2 linked regions of the Callithrix jacchus genome follow. The protein of the gene in region 1 interacts with the protein of each later gene in a biochemical or structural test. Links are inferred from orthologs where the notes say so. Each region holds a gene or a part of one and is shown in the gene's direction. Other genes may lie near its edges.

Region 1 (4,055 bases):
GCCCCATCATGGGAGGCGCCAGAGACAAAGAGGAGGAGGACATGGGCCAGGCAGGGGAACCAGGGTGATGACCTGAGCCAGGTCTAAGGAACCACCACGCCTCCAAGGTTCTCACAGCTGACGCTGGCCAAAATATCGTAAAATTCTCATGTCCAAACTGGCTCTTCCAGCCTGGGTAACATGGTGAAACCCCGTGTCTACAAATAAATACAAAAAATAGCCGGGCGTCGCGTCGGCGCCTGTGGTCCCAGCTACTCGGGAGGTTGAGGCAGGAGAATCACCTGAGCCCGGGAGGTCGAAGTTGCGAGTGAGCCGAGGTTGCGCCATGGCACCCCAGCCGGGGCGACAGAGGGAGAGCCTGTCCCAAAAATACAAACAAAAAACCCAAAACCTGGCTTTTAGGGCAAGTTAATCACCCAAGAATTCTTAGATACTTCACTTGGAGACCTCAAATAAATCGATCGGCAAAACGATGCGCTTTTTAAAATCATGCCTGGTGCAGCTGGGTGAGCATGAACTTGTTCCCCAAATTCAGGGACCCTGACGTGTAAAGGACCCGGCTTTGGGAACCCAAAGGTAGGGGGCGCTGCCGAGCACCCCCGAGCCGGACAGCGTCCTCAGTGAGCAGCAGCAGGTGGCCCACGGCCCGCCCGCCCCCAGGGAGCAGAGCCCCGCGATCCCAGCGCCGCCAGGCTCTGCGGCAGCAGGACCACGACTCCGGCAGTCTACCCGGCGCGTGAGACCCGGGGCGCTCCCGTCCACGCACGACCCTCCGTTCAGGCGCGCCTCCCGCCCAGGCCCCGCGCTCCGTTCAGCCGGGTTGTCAAGAGGCGGGGCGCTCTCACGGCACCCGCACATGGGTGACCGACTACACCTCACTTTCGCGCATTTCACAAAGGCCCCCACGTCCGGGCGTGCCCGGTGGGTGGGGGTGCAGGGCGGAGAGCGCGGGCGGCCGGGAAAGGCGCCCGGACCTTCCCGAGAATTCCGAGCTGCGCAGGCGCCTTGAGGCTGGCGCGGGGGCGTGCAGGGGGCGCGCAGCGGCTGTTGAGGGAGGGTTGCCCGGGCCGGGCCACGCGCGGGGCCTGCGCGCGCCAGGGGGAGGGGCGGGCCGCGGCGAGGGCGCAGGCGCAGGCGCGCGGCCGCGGCGGCAGTTGGGGAGGGTTCTTCCGGAAGGTTCGGGAGGCTTCTGGAAAAAGCGCCGCGCGCTGGGCGGGCCCGTCGCTATATAAGGCAGGCGCGGGGGCGGCGCGCCAGTTGCTTCGGCGTCCTGGTGCTTCAGCTGCGCTGCGGAGCCCGTGCGGTCCTTCAGCCAAGGTAAGGGGCGGTTGGGGGAGGCTGGTGGAGGGGGATTGGGGGCCGGAGGCGGCGGGGGCTGGGCCGGGGCCCTGAATCCGCCGGGGCCGCGCTCCCCACTCCGGAGGCCTCCGCACCCGCTTCAGGAATGGGCCGGGCGGCCGCGGGCTCCCCGAGGCTCTTCAGCCGCAGCGGGACAGAGGGCCGGGCTGCGGGAGAACCCCCGACCAGCCTGGCTGGGGCGAGGGGCCGAGGAGGCCGCGGTGCGGGCGGATGCGGGAGGGTGCGGGCTGGCCGGCGGGGAGCGCGGCGGGGACTGGGCCCGGGCCCGCAGCCGCCTCCCGGAAGCGCGCGCACGCTCCTGGCGGTTACCGCGCTGCGGAATGAGGTCATCCTTTGTCAGCCGCCCTTCTATTTTCGGTTCACTTAAAACTCCGCAAATCTCCTGTTGGGCTTTAAAAACGTGGAGGGCGCGACGGCATTTCGTGTAGCCCCTGTAGACATCCTGCAGGGTGTGAGACCGCCTCGCTGTCCTTCCAGATGCCCGAGGAAACCCAGACCCAAGACCAGCCGATGGAGGAGGAGGAGGTGGAGACGTTCGCCTTTCAGGCAGAAATTGCCCAGTTGATGTCCCTGATCATCAATACTTTCTATTCCAACAAAGAGATCTTTCTGAGAGAGCTCATTTCAAATTCCTCGGATGTAAGTCGCTTGTTAACTCGGAGTAGGGTTTTGGTTTCAGTGGGGTTGGGTGGGGGCTGCATGCTTAATTTGTAATTTTTGTTGATAGGCATTGGACAAAATCCGGTATGAGAGCTTGACGGATCCCAGTAAATTGGACTCTGGGAAAGAGCTGCATATTAACCTCATACCAAACAAACAAGATCGAACCCTCACTATTGTGGATACTGGAATTGGAATGACCAAGGCTGACTTGATCAATAACCTTGGTACTATCGCCAAGTCTGGGACCAAAGCGTTCATGGAAGCTTTGCAGGCTGGTGCAGATATCTCTATGATTGGCCAGTTTGGTGTTGGTTTTTATTCTGCGTATTTGGTTGCTGAGAAAGTAACGGTGATCACCAAACATAACGACGATGAGCAGTACGCCTGGGAGTCCTCAGCAGGGGGGTCATTCACAGTGAGGACAGACACAGGTAGGCGCCCGAGCATGCACGGGTTAGTCAGTGGCGGGAGGGTGGGATGCTGCAGCCCTTGGACCTCTGAGGCTTCCAGCAAGTTGTGTTTGCCCAACGTTGAGGAACAAGCTAGAGCACTTAATATGGCATGACTTGCTTACTACTTTGTGGCAAGGCACCTAGACCTGTTGTGGGAACCTTTTCATCTGTAGTAATGGCAAGTCTTGATAGATCTGAGTGAGGCATGGCTTGAACGCTAAGTTGATTGGATTATTGAGTCAATTTTCCCTACTTCTGCAGGTGAACCTATGGGTCGTGGAACCAAGGTTATCCTACACCTGAAGGAAGACCAAACTGAGTACTTGGAGGAACGAAGAATAAAGGAGATTGTGAAGAAACATTCTCAGTTTATTGGCTATCCCATTACTCTTTTTGTAAGTTTCTATGTAATTGCAGAGTGAATGCCATGCACAGTGGCTCACGCCTATAATCTTAGCACTTTGGGAGGCTGAGGTGGGTGGATTACGAGGTCAAGAGATCGAGACCATCCTGGTCAACTTGGTGAAACCCCGTCTCTACTAAAAATACAAAAAATTAGCTGGGCATGGTGGCGCGTGCCTGTAAGCCCAGCTACTCGGGAGGCTGAGGCAGGAGAATTGCCTGAACCAAGAAGGTGGAGGTTGTGGTGAGCCGAGATCCGCGCCATTGCACTCCAGCCTGGGTAACAAGCGAAACTCTGTCTTTAAAAAAAAAAAAAAAAAAAATTGCAGAGTGAGTTACTCTCTGTAGATGACTGGGGTGACTGAGCTACATCCTTATTCCTTAGATCTGTTGAACTTGGGTTGTTATTTATTAGTGTGGAGCCTGGGGAACCTAAGCTCTATCTACTACCTTAGTCTATAAGATACGTTGATGAGAAGCTGCCTGGCTGCTTCTGGCTTGGCTGACTAGGCTTTGGCCTTAGTTGAAAATAGTTGCTCAGTGTTACCAGTTGCAGCAGTGATGTGATTTCACGTCTTGTTTTGAAGGTGGAGAAGGAACGTGATAAAGAAGTCAGTGATGATGAGGCTGAAGAAAAGGAAGATAAAGAAGAAGAAAAAGAGAAAGAAGAGAAAGAGTCTGAAGATAAACCTGAAATTGAAGATGTTGGTTCTGATGAAGAAGAAGAAGAAAAAAAGGATGGTGACAAGAAGAAGAAGAAAAAGATTAAGGAAAAGTACATCGATCAAGAAGAACTCAACAAAACAAAGCCCATCTGGACCAGAAATCCTGACGATATTACTAATGAGGAGTATGGAGAATTCTACAAGAGCTTGACCAATGACTGGGAAGATCACTTGGCAGTGAAGGTGAGTGACTGAGTGGTGCTTCGAGCTTGTCCTTAGTTACTGTCTTTCCTCTTCCACCACAGATACCTTCTGTAATGCATTGTTCATTGGTACTTAAGTGTGTATGTTTTATTACAGCATTTTTCAGTTGAAGGACAGTTGGAATTCAGAGCCCTTCTATTTGTCCCACGACGTGCTCCTTTTGACCTGTTTGAAAACAGAAAGAAAAAGAATAACATCAAGTTGTATGTACGCAGAGTTTTCATCATGGATAACTGTGAGGAACTAATCC
Region 2 (4,268 bases), on another chromosome or scaffold:
CCCTACACAGTTTGTCTCCACCTGCTCTCAGCTGCTCAGTATCGCCCATTTAAAAAAACAGAACTGGCCGGGCAAGGTGTCTGACGCCTGTAATCCCAGCACTTTGGTAGGCGGAGGCAGGTGGATCACGAGATACACGAGGTCAAGATATCAAGACCATCATGACCAACATGGTGAAACCCTGTCTCTACTAATAATAAAAATTTGCTGGGTGTGGTTGTGTGCACCTGTAGTCCCAGCTACTCGGGAGGCTGAGGCAGGAGAATTGCTCCAGCCTGGGAGGCTGAAGTTGCATTGAACCTATATCACGCTACTGCACTCCAGTCTGGTGAAAGAGTGACACTGTCTAAAAAAAAAAAAAAAAACTGGCTGGGCGCGGTGGCTCACGCCTGTAATCCTAGCACTTTGGGAGGCCGAGGCGAGTGAATCACGAGTTCAACAGATCGAGACCATCCTGGTCAACATGGTGAAACCCCGTCTCTACTAAAAAAAACAAAAAATTAGCTGGGCATGGTGGCGCGTGCCTGTAATCCCAGCTACTCAGGAGGCTGAGGCAGGAGTATTGCCTGAACCCAGGAGGCGGAGGTTGCGGTGAGCCGAGATCGCGCCATTGCACTCCAGCCTGGGTAACAAGAGCAAAACTCCGTCTCAAAAAAAAAAAAGAAAGAAAGAAACTAAACCAAAATAAAATTAGAAAACCCTCATTTAATTCCTCATTCCCATAACCTACCATCTGATGTCTCTCTCATCCACAGCTAAACATGGAAAAAGAAATGTCTGCTTGACTATGCCACTTCTTCATCTCCGGCTCAATCCTGTACCCACTTCAATGTTATTTGCAGGCCCATCACCCCACCAACACAGCATTCACGGAAGTCATCAGTGAGTACCTATTTAGAAGACAAAATGACATTTTCAGTTCTCACCTAATTTGAATTTCTCAAAAGTATTCAATACTATTAACTACTCCCAATATTTTTCCATATTGTCCTCCATGACACAACACATAATAGTCCCCTTATTTTCTATTTTCCTGTCTATTGTAGAGACTTCCCGCATACACCACCCCAAAAAAGGTCAATGAAACGCCTAGCCTTCAAGTCTCAACTAAAATCTGGCTTCTAACGCCTCCCCAACTAGGAAAATATATAGTCCCATTGGTTGTCTACCAGTTTCTTGTAATTCTTAGCCATAAGTTAGCTGATCCACCGTCCCTCAGACAGGTGAAGTTAAGCTCAGTATTTGTCATATCTTGATATACAGTCTAGTTAAAAAGAGTTTGCATATGTAAGAAGATGGCTACCGGGGGGCGTTGTTACGTCCTACGTCATCACGTGCCGGGATGAGGGTGGGGCCCTCAAGGAAGATGGAATGGAATCCAGTGGGCGGGGGCAAGAGGACGGGGCGGGGCTACGCAGGATCTGGGCGGGGCGGGGCCGGTGAGGGGTCGGGGGCGCTTCTGCTATTCAGCCGGTGCGCGCGGCGGCGGGAGGCAGTGGCGGGTTAGTCCCCTTGACGCTCTATTCCGAGCGTGCCTTGGACCGCCAGCTCAGACCAGAGACAGCCGTGTAACTGAACGGAAGCTGGAGGCAGCGGGGACTAGTGCCCGGCGCTGGAGCTCTGCAGGCGGGAAGCACCCAGCATTTGGGAAGTCCCGGGAGCAGTACGGCGGCGCCTCCTTCGCCCAAGGGGCCGCGGCGGCGGTCACGGGGCGCGGCGCCACCGTGCGCGACCCAGGCCAGGATTCTAAATAGCCCAGGCTCCTCCTCCTCCCGGGCCGCCTCACCTGCGGGCATTGCCGCGCCGCCTCTGCCGGTGTAGACCGCACCTGCGCCGCTTCGCTCGCGGGTCTCCGCCCCTCGCCACCCCTCACGGCGCCAGGCCCGGGCAGCTCACCTGGACTGGCGCGGAGTGCGGGAGCCGGGTCGCTGAAGCGCGGCGCTCACGCCGCTGTCCGGAGAGGACGCAGGTGGAGCGGGCAAGACTTCGCGGAACCCGGCGCCGGCCTCCGCAGTTGTCCCAGCAGACACCGAGTCCCGGGGACCCGGACGCCCGTGCCCGAGGAGGAGCCGCCGCCGCCGGCTGGGCACCATGAACACCAGCAGCGCCAACATCACCTATGCCAGTCGCAAGCGGCGGAAGCCGGTGCAGAAAACGTGAGTGTCCGGAGCGCGTCCTCATCGCGGGGGCTGGGCGCTCTGGCACGCGGGTGCGGGAGGCAGCCCCACCCCGCCCCCAAATCCCTGCGATCCTGGGGATTAGGTTCTTTCCCGGCACTGCCTGTGGAATTGTGGTTTGGAGGCCGGTCGGGAGACCGAGGACTTGGATTCTCCAGTTTTCAATGATTGCATTTTAAAAAGTGCCCTCCCACCCATCCTCGGCCCCCGCGCCAGTGCACACGCACCCTCTCACATCTGCAACTTTTTCTCTCTTCTTTGGTCCTAATTTGTTGACAGCTCTCATCTGCCTTGTGCTGGTGGATTACTTAGTATAAACCTGTCGAAATCTCCTTCCACTTCTAATATCCGCATGGGTTAAGTTAGAGGACGGTCTTAGTTCTTCTTCTTGGTAGAGTTTGGTAGGACAAGATGTTTTAAAGAGCAAAACACGTGGCGAATTTTTGCGAAGGGGCAGTGACTCTAAAGGTACTTTTTGGTCCCCACCAAATGGCTTTCTATTGCGCTCTTATTTGGCAGCGATTTTGTAGCGCTCATCGTGATTGTATTGGTAAAGTGGATAGAAGTGGTAGCAGGTGGGAGTGGATGCAATGGACAGGATACGGTGGAGGATTTGTATTCCTCAGACACCTTTTTGGGAAACTTGCTTATCACTTTTGGGGTGGTTTTAGGATCTGTAAAATAAAAGATTTAGAACTATATTTGAGAGAGGTTTTCATTCTTAACATCTACCTCTAACTCTTTTTCGCTTCGAAGTTTTGTTACTTCTAATAGAGTCAGTACAAACTTGCTTATGAGGTCGGTTGATTTTGGTGGGATATTTGTGTGAGATGGCAAATACTATAATTTTTTTTTTTTTTTTTCAGAGAAAAACTAGCCGTGCTTGAAATATTTCCTTTTGTGAGGTGGTTGTATTCCCGTGTTTATTCCAGTTTTTTTATTTCTAATTTTATCTGAGTTACTTTACATATTTTTCAAGTTTCCGTAAACAATTTTAGGACTCTTAAACGTCTTCTCAGACCAAATTAGAAGTGTGCATTTTCCTTAGATTTTACCTAACACTAATGGGAACCAGAGAAATAACAGTTTAAGATTTACGTGTAAAATCAATTATTGGTTTAAAGGTACATTCTAGAATTCAACTTCCTTTCAGAATTTCAGTTATCGTAGTTCTTCAGAACTACACATATAAATTGGCATTAAGAGGATAATTATAAATAGACTGATTAAAATTTGGAAGTTTTACAGTATAGTGTGTCTTAAGGGAATATTGTCAGACTAGCAGTTTTCTACCTTGGCAGTTTGAGACATTGGTTTATACTACTTTTAATTTTGTAGAATGGTTTCTTAAAGTATGTTTGTTTGAAGGACAATTTGACATTGTCCTTGATGGTTCAAGTTGGGAGGCATCCCAAATGTCTGTTCTATGTATTTATTAATACACTTAGCATCATGTATAATAGGTATATTAATGGGTTTTATGTGTATTGTCAGAAAACGGGAAGATCTCCCTGATGTGTTTTTAAAATACCGGGTTCCAGTTAGCGTATTATAAAAGGACTTGGATGGCTTTGAAAACAAAAACAAATGCCATAATTTTGTACAGTTTAACATTTATGGATTCTAATTTAGATGGTAATGTTTTAATATATTACATTTTTCTTTTGCATAAAATGTAACTTGTTAGATTATCTTAATATTTTAATACACTTTCTTAGTCTTTAATGTACTTGTTTTTAATAATTTCCTATAACAAAAGTATTTTCCTGATTCAGCCCACATTTTATTTTATTAGTGTAGATGTTTATCTGATCTCTGCTGAGCACTGTACATTGCTTCTAATCATAAAGATGCCTTAAATATCACCAGCTTGTTCTGTAAGAAAAGCCTAGTGCTGGCGTTTTCATTGTCAAATGAAAGTGTTTATATAAATTATTTTTACCTGAATAAATAATGGTTAATTTTATAATGCAGTTAATTAAAGTTTATTTTAGGAATGAAATCATTAAACCTGATATTAAATTTAGTATTAGTTTTAAAATTAAAGTACTAGTTTGTGGCCTAATTAGGCCCAAAATATGCCAACATTGG

The links.
Region 2: the proteins of HSP90AA1 (region 1) and AHR form a complex in vitro, tested with the Homo sapiens proteins (2 studies listed by BioGRID). The link is inferred for Callithrix jacchus from reciprocal best matches to the Homo sapiens genes HSP90AA1 and AHR.

The regions. Positions count from the first base shown.
Region 1 is NC_133509.1:137,003,789-137,007,843, reverse strand, and holds the start of HSP90AA1 (heat shock protein HSP 90-alpha), read left to right. Parts: upstream 1-1,255; 5' UTR 1,256-1,317; intron 1,318-1,836; coding exon 1,837-1,998; intron 1,999-2,086; coding exon 2,087-2,453; intron 2,454-2,735; coding exon 2,736-2,869; intron 2,870-3,463; coding exon 3,464-3,784; intron 3,785-3,901; coding exon 3,902-4,055. UniProt on the Homo sapiens protein: Molecular chaperone that promotes the maturation, structural maintenance and proper regulation of specific target proteins involved for instance in cell cycle control and signal transduction.
Region 2 is NC_133512.1:41,143,186-41,147,453, reverse strand, and holds the start of AHR (aryl hydrocarbon receptor), read left to right. Parts: upstream 1-1,468; 5' UTR 1,469-2,091; coding exon 2,092-2,156; intron 2,157-4,268. UniProt on the Homo sapiens protein: Ligand-activated transcription factor that enables cells to adapt to changing conditions by sensing compounds from the environment, diet, microbiome and cellular metabolism, and which plays important roles in development, immunity and cancer.